3 linked regions of the Saccharomyces cerevisiae S288C genome follow. The gene in region 1 interacts genetically with each later gene. Each region holds a gene or a part of one and is shown on either strand. Other genes may lie near its edges.

Region 1 (3,604 bases):
AACACCCTCAAGAAAGAAAATAATCATAACGAAATCATGGGTATACCTATGCAAATATACCAGGATGGGAAGGGGGTGCAATTTTACCACACGAGATATCAGAACGTATTTGACGAACGGGCGAGCAAGTATGGCAACTACACGGTGAATAATGATTACCCACAGCTTCCAGATACGATAAAGGAACATATCGACCAGCTTACCTTTAGCAATGTCGGAGAGGATGGTGGAGATGTTGGAAACTATTCTGAAGAAGACGATGATGGTGACGAAGAAAAGGAACTTGAAGATGTTTTTCGAAGTAACCGTGGGTTGGAATTTGTACGGATTAATAACTATTTTACTACCCACGATTTACAAAGTTTCAAAAGTTTTAGAAATTTCAATAGCAAGTACTGGATTTTTTATTCTAATCAAGCAGAGGACAAAAAATTACTGCTGTATGACTTTAACGGCCAACATTTGATTTTTATTAAGCAGCAATTTTACGGGCAGTTGAATTTACTGCTATCGGACGCAATAATATGTATGGACTGCAATTTTGGTTATAATTCAAACACCATTCAAATTTTAGTTGGATTTCAGAATGGAAAGTTGTTAAAGCTAAACTGCGACTTGAACGGAAACGTAAACAATCACTTGCTTTTGAAGGATCCTTCAACTTCCTCTCATCAAAGCCACCTATCTATATTAAATGTCTGGGCAGGTTTGTTGCCACATTTCGTTGTTTCTTTTAGTTTGAAAGATGGGCTGCTAATAACTTCTTTAGATCACCAACAAAGCAATGGAAGTTTTCAAAGTTTCCATACCAACATTGATTTGCCTGTAGATCTACGCACGACCACAAATGTCAAGTCCGTTTTAAATTTCCCTCAGTTTACTTTATACAAAGGAAATGATATGATTTTCCACTGCAAGAATCTATTAGGATCGGATGCTTCCACGCTAAACAAGGAAATAAACTTTATGCTTAAAATAGACGAAGACGTTCAAAAGATCGACTATCTTCTTAAAACGAATCACATTTTACTCGAAACCAACATGAGATATCTGTCCATTCCAACAAGAGACCCCATAGAGAATTCAAATTCTTCTCCACCCGTCTCAGACAGCGAGGTTTATCCAATATTTTACAAGACACAAGAACTTCATGTCCATGCTTCAGGAACAGGACGTCAGATAGCAAACAATGGGAAGTATATTTTTATAACCGAGCAACATCTCTACGGAACAGCGTTATCGGTATACAAGTACTCTATATCTTTCAAACGGTGGCTGTTCGTGGGCTACTCAGACATTAGGGCCAAATACGGTATAAGGAGTGTCAAAGATCTCTTTGTTGGTAACTGTCCCTCTGTAAATAGCCCAGTGCTGACAATTCTTACTGATGACAATAACATTCAAACAATTCTTCTTAAATAAAGGTTAAGGAAATGTAAATAAAAAAAATAACAGTGACATTAATTTGTATATATCTCAACTTCTTCACTTTAACCTGTCTGAGCTGTTTGGTTTTGAACTGGAAGCACGTTTCTCATTTTATTGAACGATACCAGAGCCATTCATTATTCGATTGACGGTAAGCGGTATTGTGCGAAAAGCAAAGGGAAAAAATAGAAAGAACAAAAAAAAGAAAGAAAAAAGCACCGTAAAAAAAAAAATCGTTTCGTGGGCCGAGATCGGTAAAGTGGCTTTCTTTTAGTCAGAATTGATTTTCTTTTGATTAAGGCAAAAACTGTGCAAATTAAACTGATGGACCTATACATAATAGTGAACACGACTCATTCAAAAAATTTGTTGTAGTGACCAGAAACTCTGGCGCAAATTAATCAAGAGAAAGCGACCCCCAAGAAATGAAAGCAAAGTCGATGAAGAGCATAATATCTGTGCCAATATCAGTGTCTAAAACAGGGAAAATGAAGTTAACAGCATCTCCCGATAATCTAGCATCTATGATGTCTAAAGACCAAAATAAACTTATTCATTTAGACCCAGTTCCGTCTTTTGAGGACAGGCACGAGATTAAACCGTGGCTACAGAAAATATTCTATCCTCAAGGAATAGATATAGTCATCGAAAGATCAGATAGTAGCAAAGTTACTTTTAAGTGTAGGTCAGTACGATCGAAAGTAGGGTTGAACCCTAAATCCAAAGGTTCCTCTTCAAGATCCCATGCATGTCCATTTAGAATTAGAGCAGCCTACTCTGTGCGGTTACAGAAGTGGAACGTGGTTGTTATGAATAACATACATTCACATGAGCTGAGATTTGATTTGATTACTAAAACGGATGACTATAAAAAGTTTAAGGAAAATCTTCGTCAGAAGAACGACGAAAAAGCCATCAAAACATTTGATGAATTAGAATATAAAGCAAGTCTAAACTTACCACTCGTCACACCAATTATTTCTTGTGACTGTGGGTTAACCAAGGAAATTGAAGCTTTCAATAACATTTTTCTCCCACTATCAAACCCCCCTTTGACGTCTAAAAAAAATTTGCTCAAAACAAATAAAAACTCCGTTTCTAAAATAAAATCCAGACAGATGGATAATTCGAAACCTAGGCCAAGGTTGAAAACGAAGTTGGATGCGGATCTACATGATACCGGATTTTTAGACAATTTCAAAACGCGGAATTCCTGTGTAAAGATAGAGAAAGAAGATTCTTTAACGAACTTAAACGAAATTGATTTTACGAACATGTTTTGCAACGACAATTTCATCCAAAATTACAACCAAGGCCTGATGGAACTTTTGACAGAACCTACACCAGGTCCTTCGTCCTCTTCTTGTATACTTCCTTCAACACCAACGAGGCCCTTGTCACAAAGCAAAATGGATATAGCCCTGTCAGAATCAACAACATCTTCACCAAATTTTATGGAAACAGACGCTCCTTATGGAGATGAGATCATTAAAGTTTCCAAAGATACCAAAAGCAACGCACCAACTGCTGATACAGATATTGCTACGAACTTAGGCAAAGAGAGAAACGAAAATTTTGGCATGTTAAACTACAACTACGAAGCGTTGCTTCATTTCAACGATGAGCATTTTAATGAATTAAATTCTATTGACCCAGCCTTAATATCAAAATATTAATTATTTAGTTTTCAACTCATTAAAACGGTATCACGTTTAAATATGTGACAAGATCTGATGGACATGAATAATGGTGATATCAGCACCATCGAGGGATTTTGGACCTTAGACTTTTTAAAGCTACGGAGGACTTAAAGCATGTCGATACAAATAAGATATATCATGGCTTCATGCGCTCAAAAGTTTTATTCTTCAAGTTTGTTGATTATAATATGGTTCACGTGCGCTTCATCTTTTCATAGGTAATGCACCGCAACATTCAATTATCTAAAAAACTTTCAGGCGTGCCGGTCCCCTAATTTTTGCACTGAGATCATGAGATCAGTAAGTAAAAGCTCATATAGGAAATAATCATATAGAAAAAAGCAGAGGAATGATATTCGAACATTTTCTATACATCACCCCTCCTATTTTTAGATGAATCTCTAAGATCTAAATGCCCTCAACTTAAATATGATATTGAATTAAAATGAATTGTAGTATAGAAGATATTTAGGGCA
Region 2 (3,945 bases), on another chromosome or scaffold:
TGTATCACAGCCTTTCATCAAAATCTGTCTCGACAAATCGGACTTAGGACAGATTTGAGTTCCTGTGTAGTGTGCAACTTCAACATCACTAACCCACTTTGGATCGAAAACTTTACTAGCTGCACCGCTAAAAAATAAATCGTTCAATCCACAAAAGCCAATGGCGTCAACACCAGGTATAGCCACTCTTTTATACAGTTCGTGCAATTTGGTCGTGTAAGTACTCACGACGTCATCATCGACCCCAATACAATCGGAGAAAACATGGCCATCACTAACTATCCAAATTTTCATACCCGGTGGATATATCTTGACAAGGTCTTGTGTGGCTTTTATTAATCTTTTCAAAGCGAGTTCTTCGCCTTTGTCAGGAACGGAACCGTACACTTTTTGCTCATTAGATGACTTACATGGAAACGCTGGCAAGATGCATTCAATTCTCAAATATCGATCGGTAAAATATCTTGAACGTTCAATAAAATAATCACGGCCACCAAAATTCCATTGATCATTAACTATTGTGTTTTTCAAATTTTTCTCAAAAAAATCTGCAAATAATTCGTGATACTTAACTTCTTTGGTTACAATTGGATGTTCACTTAGAGATAATTGAGATTGGTCTAAAATATGATATACGAACCAGTTATTGAAAGAATTTTCATTCTCAACTGTTGTAACACACCCACGAATCTGGCGTTCGTCATCGCGTGTATATTCAGAAATCTTTATTGCCACTCCTAAATTATTGGTAAATTTATTTGCTAAAGAAGCTGGCAAAATTCTTTCAGAAACCCGTCCACTTACTTCGGATTCAGAAAAGTCCAGATTGTGAATAGTGTTGATAAAGTCGAGCCATTGGTCTCCAAATTTACAATTCTGTTTTTCCTCTAAAGAGTAAAAATCGTCACATTTGTCGCTTCTGCAATACAGGGCCAGAAATTTACTATATGTAGACAAATCGGCCCCATTATGGGGAATATCAATATCTTTCAACGTATCAGTCGATGAAGAAAATGAAGAGGCAGGTGGTGATATTGACTGCTCGGAGCTTGAGGGCAAGTTGCTAGTAAATGTCATTTTTGTTAATGTCTCGACAAAGCTTTACCGAATTAGGATATTAACAAATTGTTTATTTAGTCAAGACTTTGCGGAGGAGCACAATTTATGTGAAAATTTATTTCAATATTTATACATCATTTTTGATTCTGAACCTATTTTCAGAAATTGTTTTACAACATCGTAGGGCAGGCACTATGCCCTTGCAAATTTTATGATATACTGTCCACTGAAAGCAATGCAATCAAAATTCAAATAAACTCCTGAGGGGCCAATAATATAAGGATTTTTAGCACGCGACGTCTGGGATTGAGTGCCATGTATGTAAAGACGAGCAATTACTTTATGTTCCCTTATTTGTGAGGGGTTCCTGGTTTGCTTTTTTCGATCAATTCTCCTGATATTATTGAGTAAATTAGACAAATTGTTAGGAAACAACAAATTCCGATGCTTACTTACCCCTTAAATTTTCTCATTGCTCTTCATTGAGGTTGCATACCTCACCATATTTGTCATAGAAGGTCCCTTAAGGCGCCTTTTTATTTTTTCTTGGCAAGAGAACCCTTTTATTTATGGCCAGACGCGCGTCGCAAAAAAAGGTAAACATCAATAATTTTCCTTCCAGGGACTCTCAATAAAAAGACTGTAACTTGTATTATCAAATTGAGAAGCAATTACGTATTCCACCCCTCATTACTTCCCCGATACAATTTATTTTCACTTCTTTCGATGAATGCAGTGATTTCTATCTTTCCCGAAAATTACAAGCCACGGACCACAAGAGGAATGACTGGTCATCCTGATGCGAATAGTATATTAGGTAGTGCAAAAAAATACATTAATTTTCTTGAAATATTTTCGTTTTTTCAAAATGGTATTTGATTCAGACTAAGAGAATAAATCGAAAAAAGCATTAAAAATGGAGTTGTTAAAGCTTCTGTGTTTGATTTTATTTCTTACTCTTTCCTATGTCGCCTTTGCAATCATTGTCCCACCTCTAAACTTTCCCAAAAATATACCCACCATCCCATTTTATGTAGTATTTTTACCAGTAATATTTCCCATTGATCAAACGGAGCTATACGATCTTTATATTAGGGAATCAATGGAAAAATACGGTGCTGTAAAATTTTTCTTTGGTTCACGGTGGAATATTCTCGTTTCTCGTTCTGAGTATCTAGCACAAATATTCAAAGATGAAGATACTTTTGCGAAGAGCGGTAATCAAAAGAAAATCCCATACAGTGCTCTTGCCGCTTACACAGGGGACAATGTCATTAGCGCGTATGGTGCAGTTTGGAGAAACTACAGAAATGCTGTGACAAACGGGCTCCAACATTTTGACGATGCACCTATATTCAAAAATGCAAAAATTTTATGCACTTTGATAAAAAACAGACTCCTAGAAGGACAAACTTCGATCCCTATGGGACCTTTATCCCAGAGAATGGCATTGGATAACATTTCACAGGTTGCCCTTGGATTTGATTTTGGTGCTCTAACACATGAAAAAAATGCTTTCCACGAGCATTTGATTCGTATTAAAAAGCAAATATTTCATCCATTCTTTTTAACTTTTCCATTCCTTGATGTTCTTCCTATTCCTTCAAGAAAAAAAGCCTTCAAGGATGTTGTTAGTTTTAGAGAACTTCTCGTTAAAAGAGTTCAAGATGAATTAGTCAATAATTACAAATTTGAACAAACTACTTTTGCTGCCAGTGATCTAATTCGTGCTCACAATAACGAAATAATCGACTACAAACAGTTGACCGATAATATCGTCATTATCCTTGTCGCTGGCCATGAAAACCCGCAGTTGCTATTTAATAGTTCACTCTACCTTCTAGCCAAATATTCAAATGAATGGCAAGAGAAACTCAGGAAGGAAGTAAACGGCATCACTGATCCAAAAGGCTTAGCAGATTTACCCTTATTAAATGCTTTTCTCTTCGAAGTAGTAAGAATGTATCCTCCTTTGAGCACAATTATTAATAGATGTACTACCAAAACGTGCAAGTTGGGGGCGGAAATTGTTATACCCAAGGGCGTATATGTCGGGTACAACAACTTTGGAACCTCACACGATCCCAAAACTTGGGGCACAACAGCAGATGATTTTAAACCAGAAAGATGGGGTTCAGATATCGAAACCATAAGGAAAAACTGGAGAATGGCGAAAAACAGATGTGCTGTGACTGGGTTCCATGGAGGCCGAAGAGCATGCCTAGGGGAAAAACTAGCCCTAACAGAAATGAGAATTTCTTTGGCTGAAATGTTGAAACAGTTTCGATGGAGTCTTGACCCTGAATGGGAAGAAAAATTAACTCCCGCTGGGCCTCTTTGCCCTCTTAATTTAAAGTTAAAATTTAACGAGAATATAATGGAATAAATATAAAACATGTAGAATTGTATATATACGCATATATGTATACAATCGCGACAACTTTTAGTGAAACTTCTTTGTATCCAGTGAAAATGAAAGGAACAGAACCTGACCAAAGGTCAGTAGAAAAAAAAAAAGCCTTTTATAGAAGTTCTTATCCAATCGTTGACATTTTGTCTGCTCTATTTAATGCTTCAAAAATCTGATCCCAAAAGTACTGGATATTCAAATCGAGACCAATTATTGTACCAACATCACTGTCATTTGGATATTCTTTTTCAATGATAATTTTCCCTGAGTTTTCGTTGAAAACATCATCAATGCAGGATATGTCCATTCTCTTGTAGCGAAATCCAACCGCAGACGATGGATCCCACCCATAAAATTCCAAAAGCGGCATCAAAGCTACCGGATCATGTATAGGTGGGCCCGATTCAAATCCTTGCATATCCTTGTAGGTATGAGCAAAAAATTGAAAAAGCTCCAAAAACAATTCTCGTAACTTG
Region 3 (7,719 bases), on another chromosome or scaffold:
CGATGTTGAGGAAGTCCTGTGATCTTTCAAATGTGGGTGACGTGCTCACTTGGGGCGTGTTCAAGTGGGGATCTGTCATGAGGGTGAGTGTATGCGTGTGTGTGTGTGTTGCGTAGATGTGTGATTTACTATGTGTTATGTAGCTGCTCTCATCGCTGCTGATAGTAGATCTCTCGCGCAAAAATTACTCAGGCAAACCTTTACTATACCTACATATATATATATATATATGTATATGTATGTGTGCAAGCTTTTCAGAGTGGTGCACTGACATTGACCGGGCCACTCATTCCACCCCACATCCCCCAGATCAGGGGGAGATGTTAACGAAAGGAAACAGGGGATTTATCACTGGTTACGGGAGCGTAGTGACTGTACTACAAATTCGCACACAAGCAGCGCCCAGTGACGAGTCTCCGCGGCGTCTAAGTGCCGGAAGTCATCATCCACGGTGTGCCATGTACTTGGGAATGGTAGCGGGATTGCATGTAATACGGGTACTCCGGCGGCCAGGAATGGCGTGTGGTCGTCTCCGATGACCGAATGCCCGAGCCCTAAAAATCGATAGTCCGTGGGGTCCAGATGTTTGCGTTGACGCGCGACTTCGGCGGCTAATGCCGATTCGCCGTTGATTTCATCTCCACGTCGAAATAACAAGTCATCCTCTATTCGATTGAGCAGCTGATATTCTTGATGTGTCTCTGCATAGTAGCTGGGCACTAGCGGCTCCTCTTCGCCACTTCCTAAAAGATCCAGAAGAAATAATAGGCGAATTCTTGTCATCGTGCCGTCAGCAAGCCATTGGGCGGCTAATCGGCGTGCTCCATAAATCGAGTCCTCGGGGCCCCACTCTTCAATGGCCTCCTCTCCATCAAAGAATACGATCTTTACACCCAAGGTAGAATTCGATACTACAGTGTTCGACTCTAAGTCATTGTACTCTTTCGTGCGCTCGTGGCACGCGATGTGCGTTAGGAACTGGGCCGTATATAGCAGCGCGGCACACGAGGCGGCACTGTCGATAGCGCCCACCATCCCCGTGGGCGCTATCTTGGTATCATAATGAGCAGCGAGCACTAAGTACTCGCTCGCATTGTTTTGTAATGTCATAACAAGGTTATTGAAGCGGTAACCGTTCTCCTCAAAGGCTTGCGTCTCAACGGCCCATTCTCCCGCCAGCGTATTGTTGAAGTGCTCGATGATGAAGCGCTGGATCTCGCGCGAGCCTTCCGATCCGGGTACGCGCGTTCTGTTAAAAGGCAACAGCAGGTTCTTGGTACTTTTGTTCCAACCGCTGTCTGGGTTGATAGCTTCGTTCAGATGCGCTGCATGGTACTGCTCATATGACAACTCCCACCCAGTTACCCTATGCACCTGAAATAGCACCAACAGGTACGCTAGACCAATTAGTCGCAAAGGCAATACGTACTTCATTCCCATGCTTACGACCTTTTCAGTCTTTTTATTTCTTTTCTGTTGACTCTCTCTAACTCTCCCTCTCCCCCTCTTCTTCCCATGAAATGTATCACAAGCCGTCTTATTCCTTTGCTTCTTATATTCTTATGTTCCTTCCTTCGTCTCGCCTCGAAGGCAACGCAAACGCAATGTACTTCTTGACGAACGCGAAAACCATATGGAAAGTAAATAAAGGGCCAAACAAAAAACTATTTCGAATAGCAAGGTAGCTTCCATCCTGTACATGCAAGACCGTCACACAGCATGTCATCGGAAGAACCCCATGCATCTATATCCTTTCCAGATGGCTCACATGTCCGGTCGTCCTCCACTGGTACTTCATCTGTGAACACAATCGATGCTACCTTATCCAGACCGAACTATATTAAGAAACCGTCCCTGCACATTATGTCGACATCTACGACGTCGACTACGACGGATCTAGTGACAAACCCAATTCTGAGCAATATCTCCGTGCCAAAAATAAGCCCCCCCACATCATCCTCGATAGCAACAGCGACATCAACAAGTCACGTGACCGGCACTGCGTCGCATTCGAACATTAAAGCTAATGCTAACACTAGTACCAGCGTGAATAAGAAAAATTTGCCGCCAACAACTAGTGGGAGGATACCCTCTAGCACCATCAAGAGATATCCGAGTCGCTATAAGCCTTCTCACTCGCTGCAGCTGCCCATTAAGAACGACTCCAACTTTAAACGATCTAGCATATATGCCTCCAAATCCACTGTTACTGCTATCCCCATTAGGAACAATCGGCCAATTTCCATGCAGAATTCCTATGCGCGCACTCCTGACAGCGATCATGACGACGTTGGCGATGAAGTGTCTTCGATAAAGAGTGCCTCTTCTTCGTTGACCGCATCCCTGTCCAAGAGTTTCCTGTTCGCATTTTATAACAACCGCAAGAAGGACAAGACCAGTAACAATGGTGTCCTCTCAAAGGAATATTGGATGAAGGACGAGAGTTCTAAAGAATGTTTCAGTTGTGGTAAAACGTTTAACACTTTCAGAAGGAAACACCACTGCAGGATATGCGGCCAAATTTTTTGCAGCAGTTGCACTCTCTTGATAGATGGTGATCGATTCGGCTGTCATGCCAAGATGCGAGTATGTTACAATTGTTATGAGCATGCAGACACATACGAGGACTCCAGTGATGAAGAGAATGATTCTACAATGCAATTGAATGAGCCAAGGTCTCGCTCTCGCTCTCGTTCTTCCAATACCAATCCATATTCTCATTCACATTCGCATTTGCATCTCATTTCACAGGACAACCATAACGGTACCGATCTCCATGATCCAGTAGCAGCAACGGATAACCCTCAACAGCAGAATGAGGTCTACCTATTAAATGACGATGACGTACAAAGTATAATGACCTCAGGTGAAGATTCTAAATTGTTCATTTCTACACCCCCACCACCACCGAAGATGGCCATCCCAGCAACAAAGCAAGGCGGATCGCTGGAAATCTCATTCGATTCGGAAAACGATAGGGCTTTGCATTATCAAGATGACAACCCCGGTCGCCATCATCACCTCGATTCCGTGCCCACAAGGTACACTATCAGAGATATGGACAATATATCACATTACGATACCAACTCTAATTCCACTTTGAGGCCACATTATAACACCAATAACAGCACTATTACCATCAACAACCTCAACAACACTACTTCCAACAACAGCAACTATAACAATACCAATAGCAACAGCAACATCAATAATCCTGCGCATTCCTTAAGAAGGTCTATTTTCCATTATGTAAGCAGCAATAGTGTTAACAAGGACAGTAACAATAGCTCTGCAACACCCGCTTCGTCTGCACAGTCTTCTTCCATACTGGATCCTGCCAATCGTATTATCGGGAATTATGCTCATAGAAATTACAAGTTTAAATTCAACTACAATTCCAAAGGTCCTTCGCAACAAAATGACACGGCAAATGGAAATAATGATAATAATAATAATAATAATAATAATAATAATAATAATAATAATAACAGTGCCAGCGGTATTGCTGACAACAATAACATTCCCTCAAACGACAATGGCACGACGTTCACTCTAGATAAGAAGAAAAGAAACCCACTGACAAAATCTAAATCTACGTCCGCTTACCTAGAATATCCTCTAAACGAGGAAGACTCTTCTGAGGACGAAGGTTCCATGTCCATATATTCTGTATTGAATGATGACCATAAAACTGACAATCCAATTAGATCAATGAGGAACTCCACAAAATCTTTTCAACGAGCGCAAGCTTCACTACAGCGGATGAGGTTTAGAAGGAAAAGTAAAAGCAAGCATTTTCCCAACAATTCGAAAAGTTCCATTTATAGAGACTTAAATTTCTTGACCAATAGTACTCCCAATTTACTTTCTGTAGTAAGCGACGATAATCTATACGACGATTCTTCTCCTTTGCAAGACAAGGCCTCTTCATCCGCTGCAAGCAGACTCACTGACAGAAAATTCAGCAATAGCAGTGGCAGCAATAATAATAGCAATAGTAATAGCAATATCAACACCGATCCTTGGAAGAGAATCGCTAGTATATCGGGATTCAAACTGAAAAAGGAAAAAAAGAGAGAATTAAATGAAGTCTCTCTTTTACATATGCATGCCCTATTAAAACAATTATTGAATGATCAAGAAATTTCCAATCTTCAAGAATGGATAACCCTTCTAGATGGCGCTTTGCGTAAAGTTTTAAGGACCATCCTGAACGCGAGGGATTTGAACACATTAGATTTTAGACAAACTTACGTTAAGATAAAAAGAATTAGTGGTGGATCTCCTCAAAATTCAGAATATATCGACGGGGTTGTCTTTTCGAAAGCATTGCCGTCGAAAACAATGCCACGGCATTTGAAAAACCCAAGGATACTATTAATCATGTTTCCACTGGAGTACCAAAAGAACAATAACCACTTTCTAAGTATAGAGTCCGTCTTTAGGCAAGAGCGCGAATATTTGGATAAACTTGTTTCGAGATTAAAGTCATTACATCCTGATATTATATACGTCGGCGCCAATGTTAGTGGGTACGCGTTAGAACTATTAAATGACTCAGGCATTGTCGTACAGTTTAATATGAAACCACAAGTCATTGAAAGAATTGCCAAGCTAACAGAAGCAGATATTGCCATTTCTGTGGATAAGTTGGCTACGAATATTAAGATGGGTGAATGTGAAACTTTTGAAGTTAAAAGCTACATTTATGGAAACATCAGTAAAACATATACATTTCTTCGGGGCTGTAACCCAGAACTTGGTGGAACAATTTTGTTAAGAGGTGATAGTCTTGAAAACTTGAGAAAAATCAAACAAGTCTCTGAATTTATGGTCTACGCAATTTTTTCATTGAAGTTGGAAAGTTCATTTTTTAACGATAATTTCATACAACTTTCTACAGATGTTTATTTGAAGAGAGCTGAATCCAAAAAACTGCAAGTTTTCGAAGGTTATTTTGCAGATTTCTTGATCAAATTCAATAACAGGATTTTGACTGTATCACCAACGGTAGATTTCCCCATTCCCTTTTTATTGGAAAAAGCCAGAGGCTTGGAAAAGAAGCTCATAGAAAGGATCAATCAATATGAAAGCGAATCTGATTTAGATCGGCAAACGCAACTAAATATGCTTCAAGGCTTAGAATCGACTATCACTAAGAAACACTTAGGAAATTTAATAAAATTCCTGCATGAAATGGAAATTGAAAATTTAGAGCTTGAGTTTCAGAAGAGAAGTCGTCAATGGGAGGTTTCATATTCATCATCACAGAACTTACTTGGTACGGGCTCACACCAGTCTATAACAGTTCTCTACTCAATGGTTTCAACAAAGACTGCCACACCTTGCGTTGGCCCTCAAATTGTTACTATTGACTATTTTTGGGACAGTGATATTTCCATTGGTCAGTTTATCGAGAACGTCGTGGGAACTGCCAGGTATCCCTGCCAACAAGGCTGTAATGGTCTGTATTTGGATCATTATAGAAGCTATGTTCATGGGTCAGGAAAAGTAGACGTTTTAATCGAAAAATTCCAAACTAGATTACCAAAATTAAAAGATATTATCCTCACGTGGAGTTATTGTAAAAAATGTGGGACATCTACTCCGATTTTACAAATTAGCGAAAAAACCTGGAATCATTCTTTCGGTAAATATTTAGAAGTCATGTTTTGGAGTTACAAAGATAGCGTGACAGGAATTGGGAAATGTCCTCATGATTTCACTAAAGATCATGTCAAATACTTTGGTTACAATGATTTAGTGGTTCGACTAGAATATTCTGATTTAGAAGTTCATGAATTGATAACCCCACCACGCAAAATAAAATGGAAACCTCATATCGACATCAAACTGAAGGTGGAACTATACTATAAGATTCTGGAAAAGATCAATAATTTCTATGGGAGTGTCCTAAGTCGGTTGGAACGTATTAAATTGGATAGTATGACTAAAGATAAAGTTCTTAGTGGACAAGCTAAAATTATCGAATTGAAGAGCAATGCTACAGAGGAGCAAAAATTAATGTTGCAAGACCTGGATACTTTTTACGCAGATAGTCCTTGCGATCAACATTTACCATTGAACCTGGTTATCAAATCTCTATACGATAAGGCTGTAAATTGGAACTCTACATTTGCGATATTTGCAAAAAGCTATTTGCCTTCTGAAACTGATATTAGTCGTATCACGGCCAAGCAGCTGAAAAAACTGTTTTACGATTCTTCAAGAAAAGACAGCGAAGACAAAAAATCACTTCATGATGAAAAGGCGAAGACGAGGAAACCAGAAAAGAACGAATTACCGTTAGAGGGATTGAAAGATGTCGAAAAGCCGAAAATTGATAGCAAGAATACGACAGAGAATCGTGACAGAACGAACGAACCACAGAATGCCGTGACGATAACCACTTTTAAAGACGACACTCCAATTATTCCAACAAGTGGTACTAGTCACTTGACAGTTACACCTTCTGCATCGTCGGTTTCTTCTTCTTTGACCCCTCAAACCGAAGAACGTCCGCCAATAAGCAGAAGTGGAACAGGTATATCTATGACTCATGATAAAAGCACTAGACCTAACATAAGAAAAATGAGTAGTGATAGTAGTTTATGTGGACTAGCATCACTTGCTAATGAATATAGTAAAAATAATAAGGTGAGTAAGCTAGCTACATTTTTCGATCAAATGCATTTTGATGCCCTGTCGAAAGAATTTGAACTGGAACGTGAAAGGGAAAGATTACAACTTAATAAGGATAAATACCAAGCCATACGATTACAAACATCCACACCAATTGTGGAAATTTATAAAAATGTCAAAGACGCAGTTGATGAACCGCTTCACTCTAGAAGTTCAGGCAATAATTTGTCATCTGCGAATGTTAAGACTTTGGAGGCACCTGTGGGAGAACATTCCCGGGCCAATAATTGTAATCCTCCTAATTTAGATCAAAACTTGGAAACTGAATTAGAAAATTCCATTAGCCAATGGGGAGAAAACATTTTGAACCCCTCTGGAAAGACCACCGCAAGTACTCATTTAAATTCTAAGCCAGTAGTAAAGGAAACTTCAGAAAATCCAAAGTCAATAGTTAGAGAATCAGATAATTCAAAGTCGGAGCCGCTTCCACCTGTAATAACAACAACAACTGTCAATAAGGTAGAATCCACTCCACAACCTGAAAAATCATTATTGATGAAAACCTTGAGCAACTTTTGGGCAGATCGATCTGCGTATTTGTGGAAACCCCTTGTTTATCCAACCTGTCCTTCGGAACACATTTTTACTGATAGTGACGTTATAATCCGCGAAGATGAACCAAGTTCCTTGATCGCATTTTGCTTAAGTACTTCTGACTATAGAAATAAAATGATGAACTTGAATGTCCAGCAACAACAGCAGCAGCAAACAGCAGAAGCTGCTCCTGCCAAAACAGGAGGAAACAGTGGAGGAACTACGCAAACCGGGGATCCTTCTGTTAACATTTCTCCCTCAGTTTCTACAACTTCTCATAATAAGGGGAGGGACTCAGAAATTTCATCCTTAGTAACCACCAAAGAGGGCTTGTTGAACACCCCTCCCATTGAAGGCGCCCGAGATAGGACCCCACAAGAATCACAAACGCATTCCCAAGCAAATTTAGATACTCTTCAAGAATTAGAGAAAATTATGACAAAAAAAACAGCCACACACTTGAGATATCAATTTGAGGAGGGT

Evidence for each region.
Region 2: mutations in AFT2 (region 1) and DIT2 together harm fitness more than expected from each alone (negative genetic interaction), as found in Saccharomyces cerevisiae (2 studies listed by BioGRID).
Region 3: of AFT2 (region 1) and FAB1, changing one enhances a phenotype caused by changing the other (phenotypic enhancement), as found in Saccharomyces cerevisiae (one study listed by BioGRID).

What each region holds. Positions count from the first base shown.
Region 1 is NC_001148.4:167,588-171,191, reverse strand, and holds AFT2 (Aft2p), read left to right. Parts: upstream 1-1,853; coding exon 1,854-3,104; downstream 3,105-3,604. Other genes in the region: YIG1 (Yig1p), read left to right, coding at 37-1,422. UniProt on the Saccharomyces cerevisiae protein: Transcription factor required for iron homeostasis and resistance to oxidative stress. With AFT1, activates the gene expression in response to low-iron conditions, also called iron regulon.
Region 2 is NC_001136.10:1,271,734-1,275,678, reverse strand, and holds DIT2 (putative cytochrome P450), read left to right. Parts: upstream 1-1,975; coding exon 1,976-3,445; downstream 3,446-3,945. Other genes in the region: DIT1 (Dit1p), read right to left, coding at 1-1,077; URH1 (trifunctional uridine nucleosidase/nicotinamide riboside hydrolase/nicotinic acid riboside hydrolase), read right to left, coding at 3,594-3,945. UniProt on the Saccharomyces cerevisiae protein: Involved in spore wall maturation. Thought to catalyze the oxidation of tyrosine residues in the formation of LL-dityrosine a precursor of the spore wall.
Region 3 is NC_001138.5:182,783-190,501, forward strand, and holds the start of FAB1 (1-phosphatidylinositol-3-phosphate 5-kinase), read left to right. Parts: upstream 1-1,719; coding exon 1,720-7,719. Other genes in the region: IGD1 (Igd1p), read right to left, coding at 1-79; YFR018C (uncharacterized protein), read right to left, coding at 349-1,440. UniProt on the Saccharomyces cerevisiae protein: The PI(3,5)P2 regulatory complex regulates both the synthesis and turnover of phosphatidylinositol 3,5-bisphosphate (PtdIns(3,5)P2).